Yarrowia lipolytica: one gene and its partner. The protein of the gene in region 1 interacts with the protein of each later gene in a biochemical or structural test. Links are inferred from orthologs where the notes say so. Each region holds a gene or a part of one and is shown on either strand. Other genes may lie near its edges.

Region 1 (4,077 bases):
TTCTTACGGCGGTTAGACAGCCTGAAGTTACCTGGTAGGGAGGATCAGAAGAGTGTGTCGTCTGTCTGTCTGGAGAGATATCGGCGGACAACTGTAGGTCGGTAGTCAAGTAATAGAAGCTGGTCTTCCCATTAAAGCTGACCTTCAAAGCTGACCAAGATCATTGTAAACCACTTGTCGGTAGTCTGTCAACCAACATCGACTTCTGACAGTACACATTGCCACAACAGGAGGTTCAACAACGCAGAAATAAGACGATATTGACCCCACTTGATGCCGCTGAAAAATCCTGATCCAGACAGTCAACGCTCAAAATGATAGTGTTATTTGTTCGAGATCGAAATGCGGCCCTGCTGTTCTACTACTGTAGGCCTGAACAAACGCAGATAATGTGCGGTGAAAGCCGACCTTCGATCGGCCACCACATCCCCCCTGTCCGCTCACTTGCATACTCACTCTCTCTTTCTTGGCCTCCTCAAACTTCTTCTGGGCGTCAGTCAGATACGGCTCTTTAGGCGTTCGGGTGGTCTCCACTGGCGAGGTGCTCGCGGCAATCTTGGCCTTGTCCATTCGCTTGGAGGACGATCCCGGAATAGGGATCGCGCCCTTGGTCTCCACAGAAGGAGGAGTCTCCGAAATGGACTCTTTGGCATGCTCTGTATCGTGAGGAGACTTGGCGATATCCTTGGCTGAAGGCAGTGACATTGTTGGTGGTGATGAGGATGGTGCTGGTGCTGGAGAAGACGTCTTGGAGATCTTTTTCTTTTTCGACTTGGTTACTTTGCCCTTGTCGCCCTTGAGTTTCAACCGACCGCCCGGCTTAGTGTCGTAGAGGCCCATTATAAGGAAGCAGCGGGATCACGTGAATCTGACGTCACGATAGCAAGGAAGAGCGCCTGCGCCTTGTCTGGATCTCTGTGGGTTGGGGTTGGAGGTGTAACGGAGGTTGGGTTTGGTTTCAGATTGTGCTTACTAACCGTTCAGGGTACGGGTAGATCTCGTTGGTGTTGTTGCCGGGATTGTCGGTCGGAAAATCTCGGACTGGACGAGTGGGTCCACTGTGGCAGGTAAGAGGTGAAGTGAGGTGATGTTTTTGCTATCATGAAAATGGGGAAAAGGGGAAAATGGGGAAAATGGGGAAAATGGGGAAAATGGGGAAAATGGGAAAAATTGGGGAAAATGGGAAAAATTGGGGAAAATGGGAAAAGTTGGAAAAAAATGGGAAAAAATGGGAAAAACTTGCAAAAGTAATTCCCGATAACACAAAAAATTGTGGTTTTCTCGCAAATTTTACATGTATAAATCCTCGTCGCTTGTATAAATATCTTCTTTTTTTACATAAAATAACTGCCATTTGTTATTCTCCCAATCTAAATAAATTAATTAAACAGCAAGTTTAGAATGACAGCAATATCCAAGTGATGTTACCTGGAGCTACAAGTACGAGTACAATACGAGCACGAGTACTCGACGACCGTCTAAGACAGCTAAATCTCTGCCAAATACGGCGTGACTCATTAGGACACCAGATCACCAGCCTTCCTGACGCTCAAACTCCACCGCTACACTGCACGTTCTCTGCTGCTGCGTCCCGTTCTAGAAGTGGGAGTTCCCATTGTGGCAGTATAAGCTTATGTGATTGGCGGCACGGTGAGACGGGCGATGCGGGTATAATGATGGGACCTTGTTTATGGGGCGTGTTTGTGGGGGTCTATCAGAGTATGGGGAGGTTTAGGGCACCATGTAGACGGCGATATGGGCTAGGGGAGCGGTTCGGGGCCGTTGTTGTATTACTAAGCCGTCCGGTGGTCTTATCTGTGCTCCCTCCTCCTTCCCCCCGTCCAGATCCACGCCTTCCCCACCTGATCAGACTATGCATGTAGGCGCTATACATCCACCACGCAGTCCTGACATGACATACATTTGGACTCAAACTCAGCCAGTCCCACAACCGGAAAAGGAACATCAAAACGACCCTAGTCAGATCAAACGCCGTCGATTCGACCCTCCACGACACTCAGCAATACTCACACGGCCCGCCCAAGTTACACAAAGCCGCCGGCAACACACATCACAATGAAGGTAAGTGGTTGGAGACGGTACAGAGATTGTGTTCGATAAGCTGTTTGGCGAGGTCGGACGTCTTGGGGACGAAATGGGATACCGAGGGGGGTTTGTGGCGATTGATTTTTGCCCTTCAATCAGTCGAGGTTGGCGATGAAGGGGTGTTTCTTGAATGTTTATCCCTCAGACACCGGCTAACACGCGACGAAAATCACTCAGCGCGTGTTACCGGGGTGGTGTGGTGATAAGAAGAGGTTTCAGGATGTGCAAGTCGATTTTAGCAGACAGAGTTGTCGATACACACGAGGATAGACACACAGAGACATACAGAGAGGCACACAGAAAGGCGCACACAGCGACACACACAGAGAAACACGCAGAGGGTACACGCAAACATACCGTGCTCTCGACAAGCGACACAGACACAAGCCCAACCACAAACCCAGATGCGCATCTTAGTCTCTCTATCTGTGCCGTGATTGCTCTTCCCCCATCTCACAACCCATCAACTCACACTAACCCAGTTCATACAAGATCACACACTCGACGAGGTGGCATCAGCACTCAAATTCGACACACCCGAATGCCACGTTTCCGGCAACATTGACCTGTACACCACCAAACCCGCTTCCTCGGACAAGAAGCTGTACAAGGTGCTCGACAAGCAGCTGTCGTACCATCAAGACGCGCTCGACTCATTCACCTCCATCTCCACCCTCGGCACATCTTTCTCTCCCCCACAAGTGCTCACCTTTGACAACTACTACCAATACGGCAAATCGTTGGACAGCAGCGTCAGCAAGATGAGCAATCGAAGCCCCAAGGGCGTGAGCAAAGTGCCCAAGCAAAGAACCTATTCTTCCTCGAGAGCAGGCGTCTCTGTCGGCTCGCTATCGCCTCTACTCTCCTCTCCCTTTGGAGATATGAGCGAAACTGCCAGTAGGAAGGTGTTTGCTTATCTGATTGCGATTCTCAATGCGTCAGACCCTAATCACGACTTTTCCGTGCTACAGCCGGACGACTTTCAGCGCGAGCCGAGCGCATCGGCCGTGATTTCGTCCTTCAACAACGTGCTGTTCGGCCTGGGTATGCCGATCCCGCCCCGGATGTGGGACGTACTGGACAAGAGCATCGAGATGCACAACTGCACAATCTTTTCCTTCACGCCCGACGCCACGATTCTCGCCGACGAGCCTGGCGCCCTGTGGGCATTAAGCTGGTTCTTTTTCAATAAGAGAATGAAGCGAGTCGCATGTATTTCTCTCAACGCAAGGAGGCATTCTCTGTCGCCTACGCTGGGGCCCAAGATTATGAGGTCCGATGTGATCAACGGTGACGACGAAGAAGATTATGATCTCACGTATTCTTCCGACACTGACATGTACGACGAGATTGTCGGAGAACTTGATCTGGAGTAGTCCAGAGCACATTTTTATTTAACACAGCAGCACTCGGCCGAGAACACCACTCAGTTTAACAGTTCAACAATGTTCGAGCCTATGACGTTTGATTTTTCAACATATGAGTAATAAATGTATACCAGGTACGGTGGAGAGAGTAGATATGGCATTGGCGCTGCTGTGTATTCCCGCGAGTGCGCTGTGATTCGCTTCCCATCAGCTATACGCGGTCGGGGCTGGGTCAAACTATCCAATCATCTGTGTTGGACCAAGACATCGGCAATTCGCTCCCCGCCCCGTCAATGGCGTAATTGGCTGCCGAAGCGACATTGGTGATTGCGTATCGTGTCCAACGATATCCCCTGAGTCTATCGTGCATAGGCCTCGGTGTGCCTGATTGATAACTGGCTTCTATAGGTTCCATTACGGGGTGGAGGACGAGCACCGTGTGATGGACAGAGATATACAACGACTTGGGCTGGTTGCCGGGTTGTTTCTGGTGTTTCTATGTTTACAATTACCACAATATTTCTAGCCCATCTAGTCATTGTTGTGGTCTTGCTTTTGCGATGAGCGCATGCAAAATGTACCTGAAGTAAACAGATGTGTTCCC
Region 2 (4,272 bases), on another chromosome or scaffold:
AGAGTAGACCGTCATTTCCTGACTTCAAGGACATTCCGAATGGGGTAAAAAGAATCGAAATACCCTGCTGGAAAAACAACAAAGCTCTAGCTATAAAACAAACCATTTTATGAAAGGATATGTTTTCTAATTAAAGTGAAGTAAAATCGGTTTGTTTTGTTGACCAAATGGTTGAAACTCTCAGACTTACCAACTTCATCAATAGTGGTCGTGAGACGTTTATTTTTGTTTCATCGAAATCCCCGTGGTCGTCTGAGTACATTTACGTCATTAATTTTGTCGCACAGCGACTTCATGTCCTTCAATGTGTGGGTTCGTGGCTAGACACCAAAAGCAACACTCAATAAACCTATTATCTTGACATGGCTGGACCCGCTCTTCCACAAAATTTCTGTAAGTGCCATTTGTCTTTCAATTGACCCCCATTGAACATCTCCAACGTTGACCATTCAACAGAGACACATCTGACGACCGTCACGGCACGAATCGCCCATACGAATCGTACTGCTAAAGACGGCGCATCTACTCCGGACAGCCCAGGGCCATCCGTATCTGACAGAAATAGTATTAACAAAATAAAGAAAATAAGTGGTTCTAGGGATGTAATGCACGGATAGCAACGTCGCACCACCAACGGCCTGTCCAACGGCCGGTCCAACGGCTCGTACAGCGAATGGCGTGTGCGACAAAACTGTAGACGCATGTCTCTTTTCTTGAAAGAAAGACAGAACGCCATTGTCTTGAACAACGGCTCGACAAGACTCGTTACATCTCAAACCGCCCGCTGAACATCTCCTCATCGCCCATATCCTCGTCCTCGTTATCACTCTCCATCATATCCTCATCTACAGTCTCCACGGGTCGAGAGGTGGGCCGGTGCTTGAAATGCTCATCCATGGACGACTCGCCAACAAAGGTGAAGCCCACGAAATTGTCCTGGATTCGTGGCGACAGTGGGGTGCCCACCTTCATCGACTTGAACAACGAGGTCGACGCCTCGGTGAACTCGGGGTCAAAGTTGGAAGTGTCAGTCTCCGACGCCACGTGTGGCTTGAACGGAGGAGGGATCTTCTTCTGGATGAGCTGGTCCCAGTCGATATCGTGGAAAAAGGGATGGCGCCGCAGCTCTCGAGCGTCATCCTGGGCTCCCAGCCGGTTTTCGGGGTTTCTGTTGAGCAGACCCTTGACGAACGATCGGCCCTCGGCAGACAAAGCATCCTTGGGGAACTTGACCTTGCCAAAAGCAATGTTCTTGTACATCTGCTGGGTGTCATCGGCGTGGAATGGCGACCAGCCGCAGCACATTTCGAAAATGAGCACGCCCAGCGACCAAAAGTCGACCATCTTGGTGTATCCGGACTCGTCCAGCAGCACCTCGGGGGCAAGGTACTCGGTGGTGCCGCAAAATGTGGACGTGGTGTCTCCCTGGGTCACATTGGCCTTGGACAGACCAAAGTCACACAGAGCAATGTGTCCGTTGGCGTCAAGCAGAATGTTTTCGGGCTTGAGGTCTCGGTACACAATGTTGTTGTCGTGCAGGTGTTCCAGCGCAATGACGAGCTCGGCGATGTAAAACTTGGCTCGCTGCTCGCTGAATCGGCCCTCTCGCTGCAGGTGCCAGAACAGTTCGCCTCCGCTCATGTAATCGGTAACAAAGTACAGGTCCGCCTCGGTCTGGAACGAAAACTTGAGGCCGACAATGAAGGGTGACTGGGTAGTAGAAGTTCGCACGAGAATGTCTCGCTCGCCAATTGTGTGAGCAATCTCCTTCTTCTGCACAACCACCTTCTTGGACAGCACCTTCATGGCGTAGATTCGGCGCGTGTCCTTCTTTCGCACCTGATAGACCTGGCCAAAGGTGCCCTTGCCAATGAGCCGCAGAATCTCAAAGTCCTCGGGGCCCATCTTCGTTCGCACCGTGTCTTCGTAGTACGCCTGCACTCGCACCTCGCCATTGACGTGCTCGCCCTCGACTCGGTTTTCCAGCGGGTACCACGCATCGAGCACCTTGCCGGGGCCCAGGATCGTCGAGATGCGCACGTGGCCCAGAAAGGCGTCGTTGTTGGCGCCGTCGTAGACGGAGATGACGAGCTCCGAGGCGTCACGGGCGGTCACGTCGAACACGGTCTCTTCCTTCCATGTGGGGTTGATGGATCCGACGGTGTGTCCCGACGCCATGATGGGCTTCTTGGGCATGATGTTGACGCCGGCGTTGGACGCCATAGGGGTGGTGTTGCCCATGGCCACGTCGTTAGGATCCGAGTCGCCGGTCTCGGTGATGAACTCGGAGGTGCCGAAGGTGCACACCACGTAGGGTCTGCAGTTGGGGGCGGCCTGCAGGTTTCGGGCGGCGACGATTTTCGCCACCAGTTTGGCCTTGGACGAGGTGGATTCTTCGAGCCCCACGTGCGGGGTTTTTTCCTGGATCTGGCCAAAGTTCATGGTGGTGGAGTTGAGCGACGACTTGCTGGAGGTTGGTTGGCTGACGGTTGGGGTGGTGGTGTTGGACGACAGCGACTTCTTTTTCAGATCGAGTTCCTGGAGACGGTCCCGGGATTGACGTTTGCCGTGGATGATCTCGCCGGAGACGTTGACGGTTTCGCTGGTGCACACGGCCTTGGGGACTTGTTGAAGGTGTGTGGTGGATGGAGATCGCAGGATCGGGGGCGCGGGCGACGGGGCGTTTGTGTTGGTGCTGGGGCCTGTGGTTGTGTTGGAGTAACTGCCCGGCGGGGGGGTTGGGGGAACCTGTTTGGTGTCGGTTGACGGTGGGGGCTGACCTTTTTGTGGAACGAAAACAGAGAGCGGGGGAACTCCACCATAGTGTGTTTGAGGCAGCTAGGGGAGACGGTCGTGGGGGAGCCTTCTGTGTCGTGTGTGGTGTCGAGCTATTACACTACTGTAGCTGGGTGTGATGAAGAACAAGCTGCGAGTTATCGCTAAGAAAACTTTCTTTATCGATAACGATTGGCGGTGGACGCTGCTTTGTGGGGGTTTGGCGGGTGATTTTTGGCAAATGGGACTGAAAATGGGGTCTTTGGACCCGACCAAAACGATGTTACCACCCCGATTCCCGTCAGAAGCTCTGCCCGTCGCCACAAACACCCCTCGGCCTCTCACTAACACATTCTAATTATGCATTCTATCTACAACCCTAGCCCATGACGTTGCTTCAATTACCAAGAAAAAGAATAGTGTGATTGGAGCGACGGCCTTCACGGCGACTGCGGCGGCGGGGGCGGCGGACGTGGCTGGCTAGGAATTCCGCAGATTGAGAATCTCCAAGGACCACGCATCTCTCACCTGCGCGGCTCTGGGTTCTGTGTGTCTACACACACGGCTGGGTGGCCCCTACCACGTCTACTTTCTGCTTATATCGCTCTCCAGATTTGGGCTTGCTTTCCGACGCAAAAAAATTAGCACGAGGCTGACAAGCCGCAGCCCGAAACCAGCACTAGCTGTGCGATGAGCGTTGGGTTTTGGGCGGGAAAAGGGCGATTTGGACGCGAGCCGCGCGGGCGGGTTTTCCCGACTTTTTCCACAATAAATGCGATTTTTGTCCGACGTTTGAGCCCCCCTCCAAACAACCGCCGCGGACTTGTTGTCGGACCCACATTCAACTTTTTTAATATATGCTTTGAGACGCGCATGTAAGTGAAAATGTGGGCGTATAGATGTGGAATACAAGTACGAGTATCAGCATGGCGAGTGGGAATCGACCGTCTCAGAGATTTATCGGTCCACTAGGAGTAATCTGAATCAAGAGAACGTGGTCATAAGTACAAGTAGAACTCGTGCAACTCGTAGAACTCCGTCATCATAAGCTGATTTTGCTTGTAGAATGGAGAGTAAATATAAGAATTTGGTTAATTTGAATTTAAAAATAAAATAAAGAAGATTTAAATCGGATAATTTGAATTTAAAAAATGATTTAAATCGAAATGAGGATAGAATAGAGTCTGATAAGACCATAAAGTATCCGATAAGGCAGCACCCTCTTTATTAGTTGTTTTTCTTTCCCATCGCGGTTTTTGTCGTTGCAAAAGAGTCATAAAACCCCCCTTCACTATCTCCAATGTACAATACACAATGTACAACCCCGGGTCAATCTCAAAGCCTGATTGATAATCCACACTTTTTTGCAACTCTATATACCACTGATTACCAATACAGTTGAACATGTGGGGATGTCCGGGATTCGACGTTGGTTCATGTGTCACGTGACCCTTTTGGTTGCCCCGAGTTTGTGCTGTTTTTCTCTCATTATCGTTT

What was found.
Region 2: of the proteins of YALI1_F14213g (region 1) and YALI1_D17770g, one has a biochemical effect on the other in vitro, tested with the Saccharomyces cerevisiae proteins (5 studies listed by BioGRID). The link is inferred for Yarrowia lipolytica from reciprocal best matches to the Saccharomyces cerevisiae genes MAF1 and SCH9.

What each region holds. Positions count from the first base shown.
Region 1 is NC_090775.1:1,419,287-1,423,363, forward strand, and holds YALI1_F14213g (uncharacterized protein), read left to right. Parts: upstream 1-2,076; coding exon 2,077-2,082; intron 2,083-2,588; coding exon 2,589-3,482; downstream 3,483-4,077. Other genes in the region: YALI1_F14201g (uncharacterized protein), read right to left, coding at 310-840; YALI1_F14207g (uncharacterized protein), read left to right, coding at 1,422-1,883. UniProt on the Saccharomyces cerevisiae protein: Mediator of diverse signals that repress RNA polymerase III transcription. Inhibits the de novo assembly of TFIIIB onto DNA.
Region 2 is NC_090773.1:1,774,583-1,778,854, forward strand, and holds YALI1_D17770g (uncharacterized protein), read right to left. Parts: upstream 2,443-4,272; coding exon 766-2,442; downstream 1-765. UniProt on the Saccharomyces cerevisiae protein: Protein kinase that is part of growth control pathway which is at least partially redundant with the cAMP pathway. Regulates both BCY1 phosphorylation and MPK1 activity.